Linked DNA regions of Oryctolagus cuniculus. Each later gene encodes a partner of the first gene's protein in a complex. Links are inferred from orthologs where the notes say so. Each region holds a gene or a part of one and is shown on either strand. Other genes may lie near its edges.

Region 1 (7,151 bases):
AACCAAGGGGGCCTGGCGCTGTCACACAGCGGGTGAAGTCCCCTCCTATGGCAACAGCAGCCCATATGAGCACTGGTTCAAGTCCCGGCTGCTCTACTTCTGGTACAGCTCCCTGCTAACGCTCCTGGGAAAGCAGCAGAGGGCCTGGAAAAGCTCCTGGCTCCTGCCTTCAGCCTGGCCCAGCCCCAGCTGTTTCAAGCATCTGGGGAGTAAACCAGCGGATGGAAGATCTTTCTCTCTGTAACTCTGACTTTCAAATAAATACTAAAAAAATTTTTTTGTTTGTTTTTGTTATAAATCAATGGCTCCCAAAGTATCTGCCAGGGACCCTGGGAGAGCTCAAGAAACCTTCAGTAAAAACTGGAAACTATTTTGAAGGGCGGGCATGGGGCCATCATTGTGGCACAGCCGTTAGGCCTCTACCTGAGACCCCAGCCTCCCACGTGAGTGCCATTTTGAGTCCCTGCTGACGTGCCTGGGAAAGCAGTGGGAGACGGCTCCAGCGCTTGGATGGAGTTCCTGGCTCCTGTGTCCAACTTGGCCCAGCCCCACCTATTGAGAGCATTTGCGGAATGAACCAGTAGATGAAAGATCTCTATGCCTCTCCACCCCTGCAACTGCCTTTCAAGTAAATAAAAAAGACATTAACGGGCTGGCATTCAGCCTCGTGGCTAAGACTCCCCACACTTTGTAGCACATCTGGAGACCTGGGTTTGGTTCCCAGCTCTTCTTCCTGCTATCAGAGACACTCGGAGAGGGAAGAGGGGAGCAGTGGTGAGGGCTCGAGCATGCGGGTTCCTGCCATCCATGTGGGAGATCCAGATTGAGTTACTGGCTCCTGGCTTTGGTCCATTTGGAAAGTGAACCAGTGGATGCAGCTTGCTCCCTCCCTCTCAATTTTTTTCAAAACCTTTCATTTTAATTTTTTTTAAAGATTTATGTATTTACTTGAAAGACAGAGTTACACACACACACACACACAGAGAGAGAGAGAGAGGGAGGGAGGGAGGGGGAGAGAGGTCTTCTACTGCTTTCCCAGGCCATAGCAGAGAGCTGGATCGGAAGAGGAGCAGCCGGGACTAGAACCAGCGCCCATATGGGATGCCAGAGCCCCAGGTCAGGGCGTCAACCCACTGAGCCACAGCACCGGCCCAATTAATTCTTTATTTTTAAGATTTATTTATTTGAAAGGCAGAGTTACAGGAAGGATATATCTACGATCTACTCGTTCATTCTGCAAATGGCTGCAACAGCCAAGAGCCTGGAATTCCATCTGGGAGCTCCCATGTGGGTGGCAGAGGCCCAAGCACTGAAGCCATCTTCCCAGGAATAGTAGCAGGGAGCTGGATCAGAGTGGAGCAACTAGGACTCTAACTGGCACTAATATGTCACAAGTGGTGGCTTAACCTGCTATACCACAATGGCAGTCCCAAAACTATTTTAATTGTACTAATGATATTTAAATGTTGTTTGACAAGACTATATAAATGGATTTTGATACCAAGAAGTTTGAAACTACAGCTATAAAAACAAAGGGATGATTGGGAAAATTAGAATAAGGTTCATAGATTTGAAAATAGTATTATATTTTAAGGCCGGCGCCGCAGCTCACTAGGCTAATCCTCCACCTAGCGGCACCGGCACACCGGGTTCTAGTCCCGGTCGGGGCGCCGGATTCTGTCCTGGTTGCCCCTCTTCCAGGCCAGCTCTCTGCTGTGGCCCGGGAGGGCAGTGGAGGATGGCCCAAGTGCTTGGGCCCTGCACCCCATGGGAGACCAGGAGAAGTACCTGGTTCCTGCCATCGAATCAGCGCGGTGCGCCGGCCCCGGCAGCCATTGGAGGGTGAACCAACGGCAAAAGGAAGACCTTTCTCTCTGTCTCTCTCTCTCTCTCTCTCACTGTCCACTCTGCCTGTCAAAAAATAATAAAAAAAGACTGAAGGGTACGGTAGCGCTCTTTTTTTTTTTTTTTTAAAGAAAATAGTATTATATTTTAAAACAATGTCAATGTCAATTTCCATTCTTTGATCACTGTATTGGAACCATACAAGGGACTGTTTTTAACTTAACATTATATAGGGATAAAGGGGCATTATCTTTGCAACTTATTTTCAAACAGTGTGGAAAAACAACTGTATTTGTATATATACAAGAGTGCTTCAAAAATTCCATGGAAAATGGAAGTAAAAGATAAGTTTATTTTGGTTAAAATCTTGGAGCATCATTCCTCGGTAGAAACACGCTTGGCACGCACCTTGGGGCCCTTGCTCCTGTGTCTGCCTCCCATCACTTCAGGGCTGAGTGGGGAATGGGGCCATCTGTGAGCCACAGGTGTGACCGTGGTGGGTGTTGAGTGGGGAATGGGGCCATCTGTGAGCCACAGGTGTGACCTTGGTGGGTGTTGGTCTGGTCTAGGGACACCTTGGCTCTCAGAACCTGAAGGTAGCAGCTTGTTCGTCTTTTTCCCCTTTGGTTAAGTATGATGGTCTCAGTACCTCTTCTCTCCTCTCTCACTGGCTCACTCTCCATAAGGAAAACTGAAACCGGGGCAGGTGCTTTGCCTAGCAGTTAGGACGCTGGTTGCAATGACTACATCCCATATCAGTGCACCCAGCTCTGGCTCTCAGCTCTGCCTTTCTGCTAATGCAGACCCCGGGAGGCAGCAGCGATTGGGTTCAGCTGCCCACATGGGAGACCTAGACAGTATTCTCAATTCTGTTTTGGCCATGGATTTTGTGGGCACTTGAGAAATGAAAGAGTGGATAGGATCTCGCTCTCTCTGTCTCTCAAATCAATACAATTAAGAAAAATTTATTTATTTCAAAGAGTTACACAGGTGTGTGTGTTTGGGGGGGTGTCTCCCCTCTGCTGGCTCACGCTCCAGATTCAGAGCTGAGCTGAAGCCAGGAGCCAGGAGCCAGTAGTGGTCTCCCACGCGGGTGCAGGGGCCCAAGCACTTGGGCCATCTTCCACTGCTTTCCCAGGCCATAGCAGAGCGCTGGATCGGAAGTGGAGCAGCCGGGACTCGAACTGGTGCCCATATGGGATGCTGGCACTGCAGGCTGCGGTAATCCCGCGGTCAAACTTCTCCACAGGCAGGTATTTTCTGACCAAGCGTTAATTCCCGAGGATGTTCTCCGTCTCCTTGTCTATAAAGGCGGGAGGAGAGCGGGGTTGCGCAGGCAGAGATGGGCCCCACGTCCTAGGCCGGGCTAGTCCGGGCCTACCCCAACTTCTCGGCCAAGTAAACAGCACTGGGCGCTGCACTTTGCTTAACCCTGGGAACTGGTCATCAGCCTTTGACCTCAGCCCTCCCCTCCTGGCCCGCCCCTCCCCCCTCCCGGCCTCTGGAACCTCAGGGAGCTTTAGAGCAAAGAACCAGTTTTCAGAGAGTGCCTCAGCGACACTGTCTCCACCTGCGCAGCCCGGGACGCGTGGCGACCATGTATTCCAGCGGGGCAGGAACCCGAGCGGCTGCTAAGAGGTAAGAGGGCGAGGCTTCCCTCGGCCTGCGGCCCTCACACGGAGGCTGACCCCGGCCCCTCTCGCTGGGGCTCGCCCTCCAAGAGTGGTCGGAAGCCGGTTCAAGGCCCCCTGCCGCCTCCCCGCCCCTCCCTTAGCCACACCTTAGGCTCTCGGCCGGGCCTTGAGAGGGCCTCTTCCTTCCCGTGAAGATGCCGTGCAGAGCATGCTTGGTCCGCCCCCTGGGGGATTCCAGGGCCTGCCTGCCTTCCAACGGGAGGGCGGCGAGGGCGAGTTGAACACGCGAGGGCCTCCTAACTCCCTTTGCTCCTCCTTCCGCCTGCTTGCCCCCTGCCCAAGATCCCAGTGACCTTCGACAAGAGGGCCAAGCCGGGTGCCCTCTCCGCCGTGGGACTCCTCCCTCCCCTGTCTTGGTCTGGTTTCCTGAGACGTTGAAGTGAAACGTCAGCTCCAGCAGCTTGGTTTCTCTTGGTCCTGTTTTTTTTTTTTTTTTTTTTTTTTTTTGACAGGCAGAGTGGACAGTGAGAGAGAGAGAGAGAGAGACAGAGAGAAAGGTCTTCCTTTGCTGTTGGTTCACCCTCCAATGGCCGCCGCAGCCAGCACACCACGCTGATCTGAAGCCAGGAGCCAGGTGCTTCTCCTGGTCTCCCATGGGGTGCAGGGCCCAAGCACTTGGGCCATCCTCCACTGCACTCCCTGGCCACAGCAGAGAGCTGGCCTGGAAGAGGGGCAACCGGGACAGAATCCGGTGCCCTGACCGGAACTAGAACCTGGTGTGCCGGCGCCACAAGGCGGAGGATTAGCCTAGTGAGCCGTGGCGCCGGCCTTCTCTTGGTCTTTAACAGAGCTCCCGGGTGCCCCCCCCCCCCATTTCTAATGTAGCTTAAGACAAAACGAGAAACAAAACACACTCAGGGGAGGCAGGGAAGGGTCCTCCCACTCTCTCGCTGCTTCCTGCTGCCTACCACCCTGCACCTGCTATGAGGCGCGGGGCTGGCCTCGGACCCTGCCGGGAGAAAGCCCCCTGACTGCACCCAGGCTCCAGGTGGCCCCACGCCCGCCCAGGAGACGCTTCAGTGAGTCCTGTCTGCGCTGCGTGCCTTTTTCTTGTTTTATTTATTTGCTTGTTTGAAAGGCAGAGAGAGAGATTTTCCAGATTCAGTCCTCAAATGCCCCAGGGACCCACACCAGCGGGAGGAAGCTCCCAGCCCACGTGTTTTCTACCAGAGACTGTCTCTTGGTGTGCTTTACTGAGTCCTACTTCTTAACTGCTAGTCTCACTAGCTCATTTTTTACAAGATGAGTTTCATATTGCTATTGAAAATGAAGCTATTGAAAATTCCAGAAAACAACAAAGGACGAGGTTCTGAACTACGTAGTGGCAGCAACTGGGAAGGAGCAAGCGTGCAGTGAGTGGCACCTGGGGTCAATCAGGTGAGAAGGCCAGGGTCCAGGAGGGTCCCATGCCTGAGCTGGAGCGTGTGAAGGAGAAGCAGGTGGGTGCGAGAGAAACACGCCTTCTGCAGGCCCCCAGGGCAAGTCTCCAGCAACTGTGGGGAGCTCTGCAGGAGATCAGGGCTGGAGCCAGGGATTGGGTGCCTTCAACACACAGATGCTCCTGCCCCTTTCCTCCTTACCCCTCCTATTGCTGAAATCTCTTGGCTGCTTCGATCAAATTTCTTCCTGTCCTTTAAGATCCAGCTAAATTCCATTATTGATGAGTGGGGCCTTCCCTAAACAGCTTCTGTAAGTGGCTCCCCCTACTGCCCTAACTCTTTTTTTTTTTTTTTTTTTTTTTGGACAGGCAGAGTGGACAGAGAGAAAGGTGTCTTCCTTTTCTATTAGTTCACCCCCCAATGGCCACTGCGGCCAGCGCACCCTGCTGATCCAAAGCCAGGAGCCAGGTGCTTCTCCTGGTCTCCCATGGGGTGCAGGGCCCAAGCACTTGGGCCATCCTCCACTGCACTCCTGGGCCACAGCAGAGAGCCGGACTGGAAAAGGAGCAACCGCGACAGAATCCGGCGCTCCAACCAAGACTAGAACCCGGGGTGCCGGTGCCACAGGCAGAGGATTAGCCTAGTGAGCTGCGGTGCCGGCTATCCCTAACTCTTCATTAAGCACTGAAGTTCCCAGCCTATTTTCTCCTGTGTGTTCCCTGTCATAAATGGAAATCTTTGCATTCTTTTTTTTTTTTTTTTAAAGATTTACTTATTTATTTGAAAGGCAGAGTTACAGAGACAGAAGGACAAAGAGGGGCTGGCACTGTGGTGTAGTGGATAAAGCCGCCGCCTACTGTGCTGGCATCTCATATGGGTGCCATCAAGTACTGGCTGCTCCTCTTCCTGTCCAGCTCTCTGCTGTGGCCTGGGAAAGCAGTGGAAGATGGCCCAAGTGCTTGGGCCCTGTACCCACGTGGGAGACCCGGAAGAAGCTCCTGGCTCCTGGCTTTGGATCGGCACAGCTCTGGCCATTGCGGCCATCTGGGGAGTGAACCAGCGGATGGAAGACCTCTCTCTCTGCCTCTGCCTCTCTGTAAATCTGACTTTCAAGTAAACAAATAAAATATTTAAAAAAGAAGAAGGCGGCGGCCATAGAGTGAGTGATAGATCTTCCATCCATAGGTTCACTTTCTAAATGGCCACAATGACCGGCCAAAGCCGGAGCCAGGAGCTTCTTCTGGGTCTTCCACGTGGGTGCAGAGGCCCAAGGACCTGGATCATCTTCCGCTGCTTCCCCAGGCTCATTAGCAGGGAACTGGATAGGAAGTAGAGTAGCCAGGACTTGAACTGTTGCCCATATGGGACATCGGAGCTGCGGGCCATGACTCAACCTGCTGTGCTGCAGTGTCGCTGGCCCCAAGCTTTGCATTCTTAATTTCTCCCAGTGTGGGCCCTTTAGCATTGGTTGATTAAGCTGTGGATTCTATTCCCAACCTGAGTCTATCCAGGCAAGTAGGACTACCCATTTGCAGAGAGTTGTCCTGGCCTCTTTTACTTGGTTCTGAGGCTTTGACCTTCCTCCTGGTCACATCACATGGGCTGGGACCGTGTGCTCTACTGAGGCAAGCCTGTAGCTGACCATTAGATCGGGGGTCCCCCAGCCTAGCCTAATTCAGCATTCTGTCTCCTTGTAGGAAGGTATGTCTTCTCTCCTTGCTGCTCGTTGGCCTCTGGGGCCGTGTGGCTTGTCACGAGAGCCCTGTGGAGGACATCTGCACGGCCAAGCCCCGGGACTTCCCTCTGAACCCCATGTGCATTTACCGTTCCCCAGAGAAGAAGGCAACGGAGGATGAGGGGTCAGAACTGAAGATCCCTGAGGCCACCAATCGTCGGGTCTGGGAACTATCCAAGGCCAATTCCCGCTTCGCCACCATCTTCTATAAGCACCTGGCAGACGCCAAGAAGGACAATGACAACATTTTCCTGTCACCCCTGAGCATCTCTACGGCTTTTGCGATGACCAAGCTAGGTGCCTGTAACGATACCCTCAAGCAGCTGATGGAGGTATCTTCCAAAGCCCTCGGCCGCCTCGTGCTGGGAGCATTTCGGGGCTCCCATAGGTCAATGACTGCTGAACCAAAAGGAGCTCAGTACGGGCTGTGCTTTCCTTTGAATCGTCACTTCACATGATTTCCTTTGAAAAGCTTTTTTTTCTTTTTTTAAATTAGGC
Region 2 (6,492 bases), on another chromosome or scaffold:
ATGTGGGTGCAAACTGTTGAAATCTTTACTTAATATATACTAAACTGATCTTCTGCATATAAAGAGAATTGAAAATGAATCTTGATGTGAATGGAAGGGGAGAGGGAGCAGGAAAGGGGAGGGTTGCGGGTGGGAGGGAAGTTATGGGCAGGGGGAAGCCATTGTAATCCATAAGCTGTACTTTGGAAATTTATATTCATTAAACAAAAGTTTAAAAAAATATAGTGATATATCAATAAGATATTCATATGGAGAAAACTGAATCTGGCCCCCTACTTCACACTATAAACCATAAATCAATCCCAAGTGGACTAAAGATTTAAATATATAAAACAATAAAGCCTTATATTTTTACCTTGAGGGAAGTAAAATTCTCTTAAACAATACAAAAGGCAATTGCCACAAAAAGATTAATAAACTGGACTATATTTAAACCAAGAACTTTTCTTCAGTAAAAGACACTATTTAAAGAGAAAAGGCAAGTCACAAAATATACGAAGTTATTTGCAATACATATATATAATAACTGAAACTCTCATACACTAATGGTGGGAATTTTAATTTATAAAATCATTTTAGAAAATTGCTTGGCAGTATCTACTAGGCCTGAACATAAGTTGAATAATTTTGCTTGTAAGTCCAGTAAAACTGCATGCTTACGTTGCCAAAAATAATGTACAAGAATGTTCATTACAGTATACATAAGCTCCAAAAAAAATGGAAATGTCCCAAATAGATTGATGTTTTAATATTAAGACAATGGAATACTACACAGCAATGTAAATGAACTACTGTTATACAAAAACATGGATGAATCTTAAAGACAAAAAGAGAAATGAAAGACAGAGGAGTATCTATTGTGAGTTCATGAATGGCAAAACAGTTCACTGTGTCAGAAGTCCAGTTAATGGTAACCTTTGAAAAGGAAGAAGGGAAGAGTGATTGGGAGGGGGCATTAGGAGAGCTTCTGGGATGTTAATAATGTTTCATATAATTCTTTTTAATTTCTAGATGGGTACATTTACTTTATGGGAACTTTAGTATGTACTTTTCTGAATGTGTATTATACTTCAATAAGGTTGTTTAATTGCAGGTCATGATTCAGTGAAAGTAAAGTGAAAGGATTTTACATTTCTTTTCACTCTTAGCTCAAGGCTTCCAAGTTTTTCACCACAAATGCCCCCAGGGTACACTTGACCTATTCATGAATAAGTAGTTTCATGTACATGTTTGAAATGAATGCTACATGATGTTATTACTCTTTGTGTTACTTTCTTTTAGATTCAACTTGCAGCATTAAGAATGGCAGATGTGAGCAGTTTTGTAGAAAGAATCGTAATAACAAGATTATCTGCTCCTGTACTGAGGGATACCGACTTGCGGAAAACCAGAAGTCTTGTGAACCAGCAGGTCAAAATCAAAATAAGTATTTTAAAGAAAATCTATATTTGGACCTTCGACAATTTAAGTATCCTACATAATTTTAATCTCTACTTGTGTCTACTTACACTTGATATCAATGAAAAGATCAGTAGCCTGAATTATACAAATGAGTTTCCAAATTGCATTGTTTTAAATTTAAATCCTGTAATTATCTCCAGTGTAGACTCTTATTTTCATCCATTTTTTTCTTTCATGTCACAAAGCAATTGGTTTGATTTTTGTACAAGTATTTAAAATTCACTAAGTCAAACTAATGTAAAAATGCACTACTACACCATCAAAGATACACACATAGTGATAGATTTCTAGTACAAGGATGGTGAATTTTAAGCATGGTTCTAACAGGGCCAAGCTAGTTTACTTTTAGGAAGTTTTTTCCTACGCCTAGGTCTCAAGCTAAGTTTACACACTTAGTCTCAGTGGTTCTAGCAACTAACTTCTTCAAGTTTTCTAGATTGATCAACACAATCCATACAGCAGGGAAAAAAGTAATGTTTTCCAGTCATGTCAACCATGCTACCATGTTGACAGCAGATTTATATATTCGGTACCCCACACTCATACTATTCTTTTCTGAAGACAAAAGCAATAGAAACTGATTTTTTAAAAAGTGGACTCTGCAGGATCAATTATATTTGATAAATGAACTTTTTGAAGCTAACTAGATATAAATTTTTGCATTAGCAAAGCCTGATATCTTACTAAATTGGCACATTAAATCATGCACCATTCCTCTGAAACTGGGTTCAATGCATATCTTGACAGTGCACCAGGCAGAAGATATTAAAGAAAGGACCAGAAGCCCGGTGCATACATGCTGCAACTAAAATGAAGAGTCTCCAATGTTTCAGAACCTGCTTTCCTCTCCTTCTGATTTGTTTTCACATGCCTTAAAACTAGCCTCTCTTAGAAGGAGTGTGTGTGTCTTTAACATGAAAGTCCAACTTCTAGTCCAGACAGATAGTATAGACACTAAACCCTTACAAGCCCTTCTATGTTGTAAGAGAGAAAAAGAATTGAAAACCATCTCCTACTATTAAGTGTAATATTTGAATACAGCCTTAGCTTTAACAGAATAAGTAGGCCAAACATAAAATAAGCTTTTCTGTCTTTTCAATAACGGTCCCTTTTCTCTAGCCCATTGTTGATCATGTACATTTATACATAAGTATTTTGAACTAATTTCCTGTTTTCCCAACCACATGCTGTCTTCATGATACTTTGCCGCAGCTGGTTGCTATAGAAATGCCTGTTATAAGGAACATGGCTAGAAGGAAAGTCAGAAATGAAAATGAAATGTTAGGTGACTTTGTTTGACTACAAATTTCCATTCTGGTTGTCCCCAGCATATCAGTACACGATTTATTTTTTTTAGAAAATAAATTAACCCAGTGGAAAAGGGTGGCCAGACACCAAGTATATGTGGCTATGATAATCTTTAGTAATCTATTTGGTTAATATTTGACAGCCAGGTAATTGAATTATAATGATATCTTTCAAACAAATTCCTAAAATCCACCTTGGGATCTAGAAAGCATTCTAATCTACAAAAGAAATCCTATTAATGATAAAGAGCAGAATTCCCAATTACATAATTGCAAAGTTAGATTTCCATTCAGGGATGGCACTTAAGAGTAAGACGTTTTAGTAAAGAAACTAAACAGAAAGTCAGTATACTCTATAAAAGTCTTACCCAATTTAATTCTGGAACACCTACTCTATTTCCATAAAGATGATGGATCCCTGAGCCAAATGTTCTTTTTAGGAAGGGTTTGAAAACTTTCCACAAAAAAAATGCAAGCAACCTTCTAATTTGAGACAATATTTATTTATTAGATTTTAAAAATATATCTATGGGTCTGCTTCTGCTTCTCAGAAGTGATAAGGATGGGTCTCATTCTCAATTTTTGTAACTCATCTTCTACTTGCCAATGAGAAATCTCAGAATACTAACTATTTTTCTACTTTTCCAGTGCCATTTCCATGTGGAAGAGTTTCTGTTTCACATGCTTCTAAGAAAATCACCCGTGCTACGACAATTTTTTCCAATACGGAGTATGAAAATTTTACTGAAGCTGAAACCATTCGGGGTAATGTCACTCAAGATGCCCAATCATCTGATGACTTCACTCGGATTGTTGGTGGAGAAAATGCAAAACCGGGTCAATTTCCGTGGCAGGTACTCTCTGCTGATGGTATCTCAAAACTGGAGCTCAGCTGGCAAGGGACAGGCCTGGTGGGCGACTGAGGCTAGGACACTAGACAACCCTATGAGGTGAGAAAAGTATTTAGGAAAAGTTCAGCACTAAACAATATGAGAACACCTCCACAAGTGTGCAGCTGGTGAAAGAGAAATTCAGGTACAGATCTTATATGAAATTAAGAAGAACTGGGCATAAAGAAAATAACATAGGATTGCAGACAAGCAGCTGGTCAGCAATTGGGAGAGTTGGAAGTGAGGTCACAAGAGCTAGGGTTCTGGGTACTACTTCAGCTTCAGTCCCTGGAAAAACTGGTAAAAGTTAGAAAGTCTATAGCTCCAGAGATGCTGAAGTATTTTGAAAGGACATAAAGACTTGAGTAGGCAGAAGTAAGGCAAGAACTAGGTGCACAGAACCAGGATATGGGATAGGGGCTTGTTCTACAGCTAAGGTTTTATTTTTCTTTTTAACTTTTAATAGCACATATTTGTAAGATATGATGTGATAATTCAACACTTGTGTCTGTGGTTCTTTTTAATTTTTATTAATACAAAGAGAACAGATTTCATGTATTTCATAGGTACTGTTCCAAGAAGACAACCATAATTCCCTCCTCTCTTCTCTCTCTTCTTCAATACTCTCCCCTTTCAATTCTTTCTTCAATTTTTGTAAAGGCATGCCTTCAATCCACTCCATAATCACAGGCTTAATACATCACCAACCATAATATTCAACAAGCAAAAAGCAGGAAGACCATAGTTCCACAGCAGTATAAACAAGGGCTAAAAACAACAGTCATATCCAAAAAGTCCATTTCAATGTGGCAGCATCAGCATCACCTGGAAGTTGTCAGGAATGCAAATATTCATGCTTTACTCCAGATCTACTGAATCAGAATCTCTGGGAGTGAAACCTAGCACTCTGCAGGCAAACAAGCTCTCCAAGAGGTTCTGATGTATGCTCCAGTTTGAAAACCCCTGGTCCAAAGAAACAAACCTGTTAAAAAAAAGTCAGGGTCCAAAACAAAACAAAAAATATACTCATGGATTCATGGTACCTAGTCCTCCAAGTGTAGTCTGCAGACATCCACAGGTACAGAATTATCTATGCACATTTTTGATGTTACAAGCAAGAGCACACTTCTAGCAAAACCTGGGTTATAATTGAGCCCACAGTTAATGCCTAAGTGATTCTATCTGTGAAACTAGGACCCCTCTTCCAATAAGAAGCCAGGCAGGTCTTTATATTATGCTGTACTGTCCAATAAGGTAGCCACTAGCCATGTATAACCACTGAAATTTAGCTTAACTATAATTAAGTATAATGAAAAATTCAATTCCTCAATCACATCTGCCACAGTTCACAGCATAATGGCCACACGTGCTACTGGATACTGTATTGGACAGGGCAGAGCACTTCCATCAATTCAGAAATTTCTATTAGTGCTCATAATATTGCCGGGCAACTTAATTTGGTAGTCATTTCAAGGATGCTTCACTCCAAAGTATTCTCTCTACTGGGGTTTGAATTTTCATCATAAGAGACTCAACTTTACAGACTCTGCAATCATCAAATGGGTAACAAGATCAGGTGAATGTCCTGAGGTCACAGTGGAATTTTCTGAGATCAGTTATGTATCTATCCAGGTTCCTTCATAATTCCTGTCATTTTCCATTATGATGGATATAAGATATGGAACATATATCTGGGGATGGAGGGGCCATGAAGGACTCAAATAGACATTGTAGAGAATGGTATAGAAGAGTAGCCAAACATCACAACCAAAGTTTTGTATTTTCCTTTCCTTTACTTTTGCCTTCTTTAAAAAGCAATGTTGGTTGGCTCTTACAGCCAACACAATACACTGTATGTCACTTTACATCCCTTCAATCCCTACTTGAGCATATCCCACCAGCACTTCTTCCTTCATCCACCATTAACTATTTCTTTCACTTATCTATATTTACTCATCAACAACCCTTTGTAAGACTGACATTTTCCATCAATGTTTCCTTGAGTAATTTTTCTTGGGTACAGCTACCCTAATTATGCTTTCAATTCTCTTTAACAATCACATATCTCATTATATTTAATCTTGTTATTTGTGTTCTGTATTTTCACTTATAAGCTGGTTACAACAAAAGATCCTACTTTATGACAATTACCTTTCTTTGGTTTGTGGAACACAAAGCAGTGCTTAGAGCAAAAGATCCAGGAGCTCAGGGATGTATTAATAGCTAAGAAGATGACTTCCTCTAAAAAAGAAATCCTTTTTTTTTAACTCAAGGATACATGAATTGTGGGCTTAGCACTGTCCCCTTGTTATCCCAGAAATGAAATGGCAAATACACTTAAATGAGGGATAAGAAAAGGTAGGAGAGGGGTCTCAATTTATGTACATGATCTCTTTGCCTCCCACCCTCTTTAAACCAAATATTTGGCAGTGCTTTAACAATGCATGTCATTCCTAAAAGAAAGTTAGTAACCCTAGCAGACAGAGAAAACTTAGGTGATTGCAGATGCTCAATAAGACACAAATGATACACATCATTTCCAGTCTATCTGTGTCACTCTCACTGCACACTTGCAGTTATCGTACTTGTGTTCTTTTTCCTGGCAAGCTTAGCTAAGATCATTTGGAATGTGCACAATCTCTCATACATGTGAGTGCATGTAAGCACACACACATTCACTCCCTATTCATCCATATGAACTACGATTACTGACTCTAGAGGTCCAAAGCACAAAGTTTTATTTTCCAAAGTTGAGGAGCTGAGCTATTTTCTAGCATACTGAAGACAAACTCTGTCATACTACTTTGCATTGTTTTCTTTCTCACCAGAGAACT

Evidence for each region.
Region 2: the proteins of SERPINC1 (region 1) and F9 are in contact, whole or in part, in a crystal structure (PDB 3KCG), measured with the Homo sapiens proteins. The link is inferred for Oryctolagus cuniculus from reciprocal best matches to the Homo sapiens genes SERPINC1 and F9. Residues at the interface, in NP_000479.1 of Homo sapiens: Glu264, Asn265, Arg267, Glu269, Met283, Met284, Tyr285, Glu287, Met347, Val349, His351, Val420, Val421, Ile422, Ala423, Gly424, Arg425, Ser426, Leu427, Asn428, Pro429, Asn430, Arg431; in NP_000124.1 of Homo sapiens: Lys247, Val248, Asp249, Ala250, Phe251, Cys252, His267, Cys268, Glu270, Glu285, Tyr312, Arg358, Phe360, Lys362, Gly363, Arg364, Ser365, Leu367, Lys387, Phe388, Asp405, Ser406, Cys407, Gln408, Gly409, Asp410, Ile429, Ser430, Trp431, Gly432.

Annotation. Positions count from the first base shown.
Region 1 is NC_091438.1:2,335,308-2,342,458, reverse strand, and holds the start of SERPINC1 (antithrombin-III), read left to right. Parts: upstream 1-3,325; 5' UTR 3,326-3,442; coding exon 3,443-3,483; intron 3,484-6,615; coding exon 6,616-6,985; intron 6,986-7,151. UniProt on the Homo sapiens protein: Most important serine protease inhibitor in plasma that regulates the blood coagulation cascade. AT-III inhibits thrombin, matriptase-3/TMPRSS7, as well as factors IXa, Xa and XIa. Its inhibitory activity is greatly enhanced in the presence of heparin.
Region 2 is NC_091453.1:117,823,150-117,829,641, forward strand, and holds part of F9 (coagulation factor IX), read left to right. Parts: intron 1-1,281; coding exon 1,282-1,410; intron 1,411-3,416; coding exon 3,417-3,622; intron 3,623-6,492. UniProt on the Homo sapiens protein: Factor IX is a vitamin K-dependent plasma protein that participates in the intrinsic pathway of blood coagulation by converting factor X to its active form in the presence of Ca(2+) ions, phospholipids, and factor VIIIa.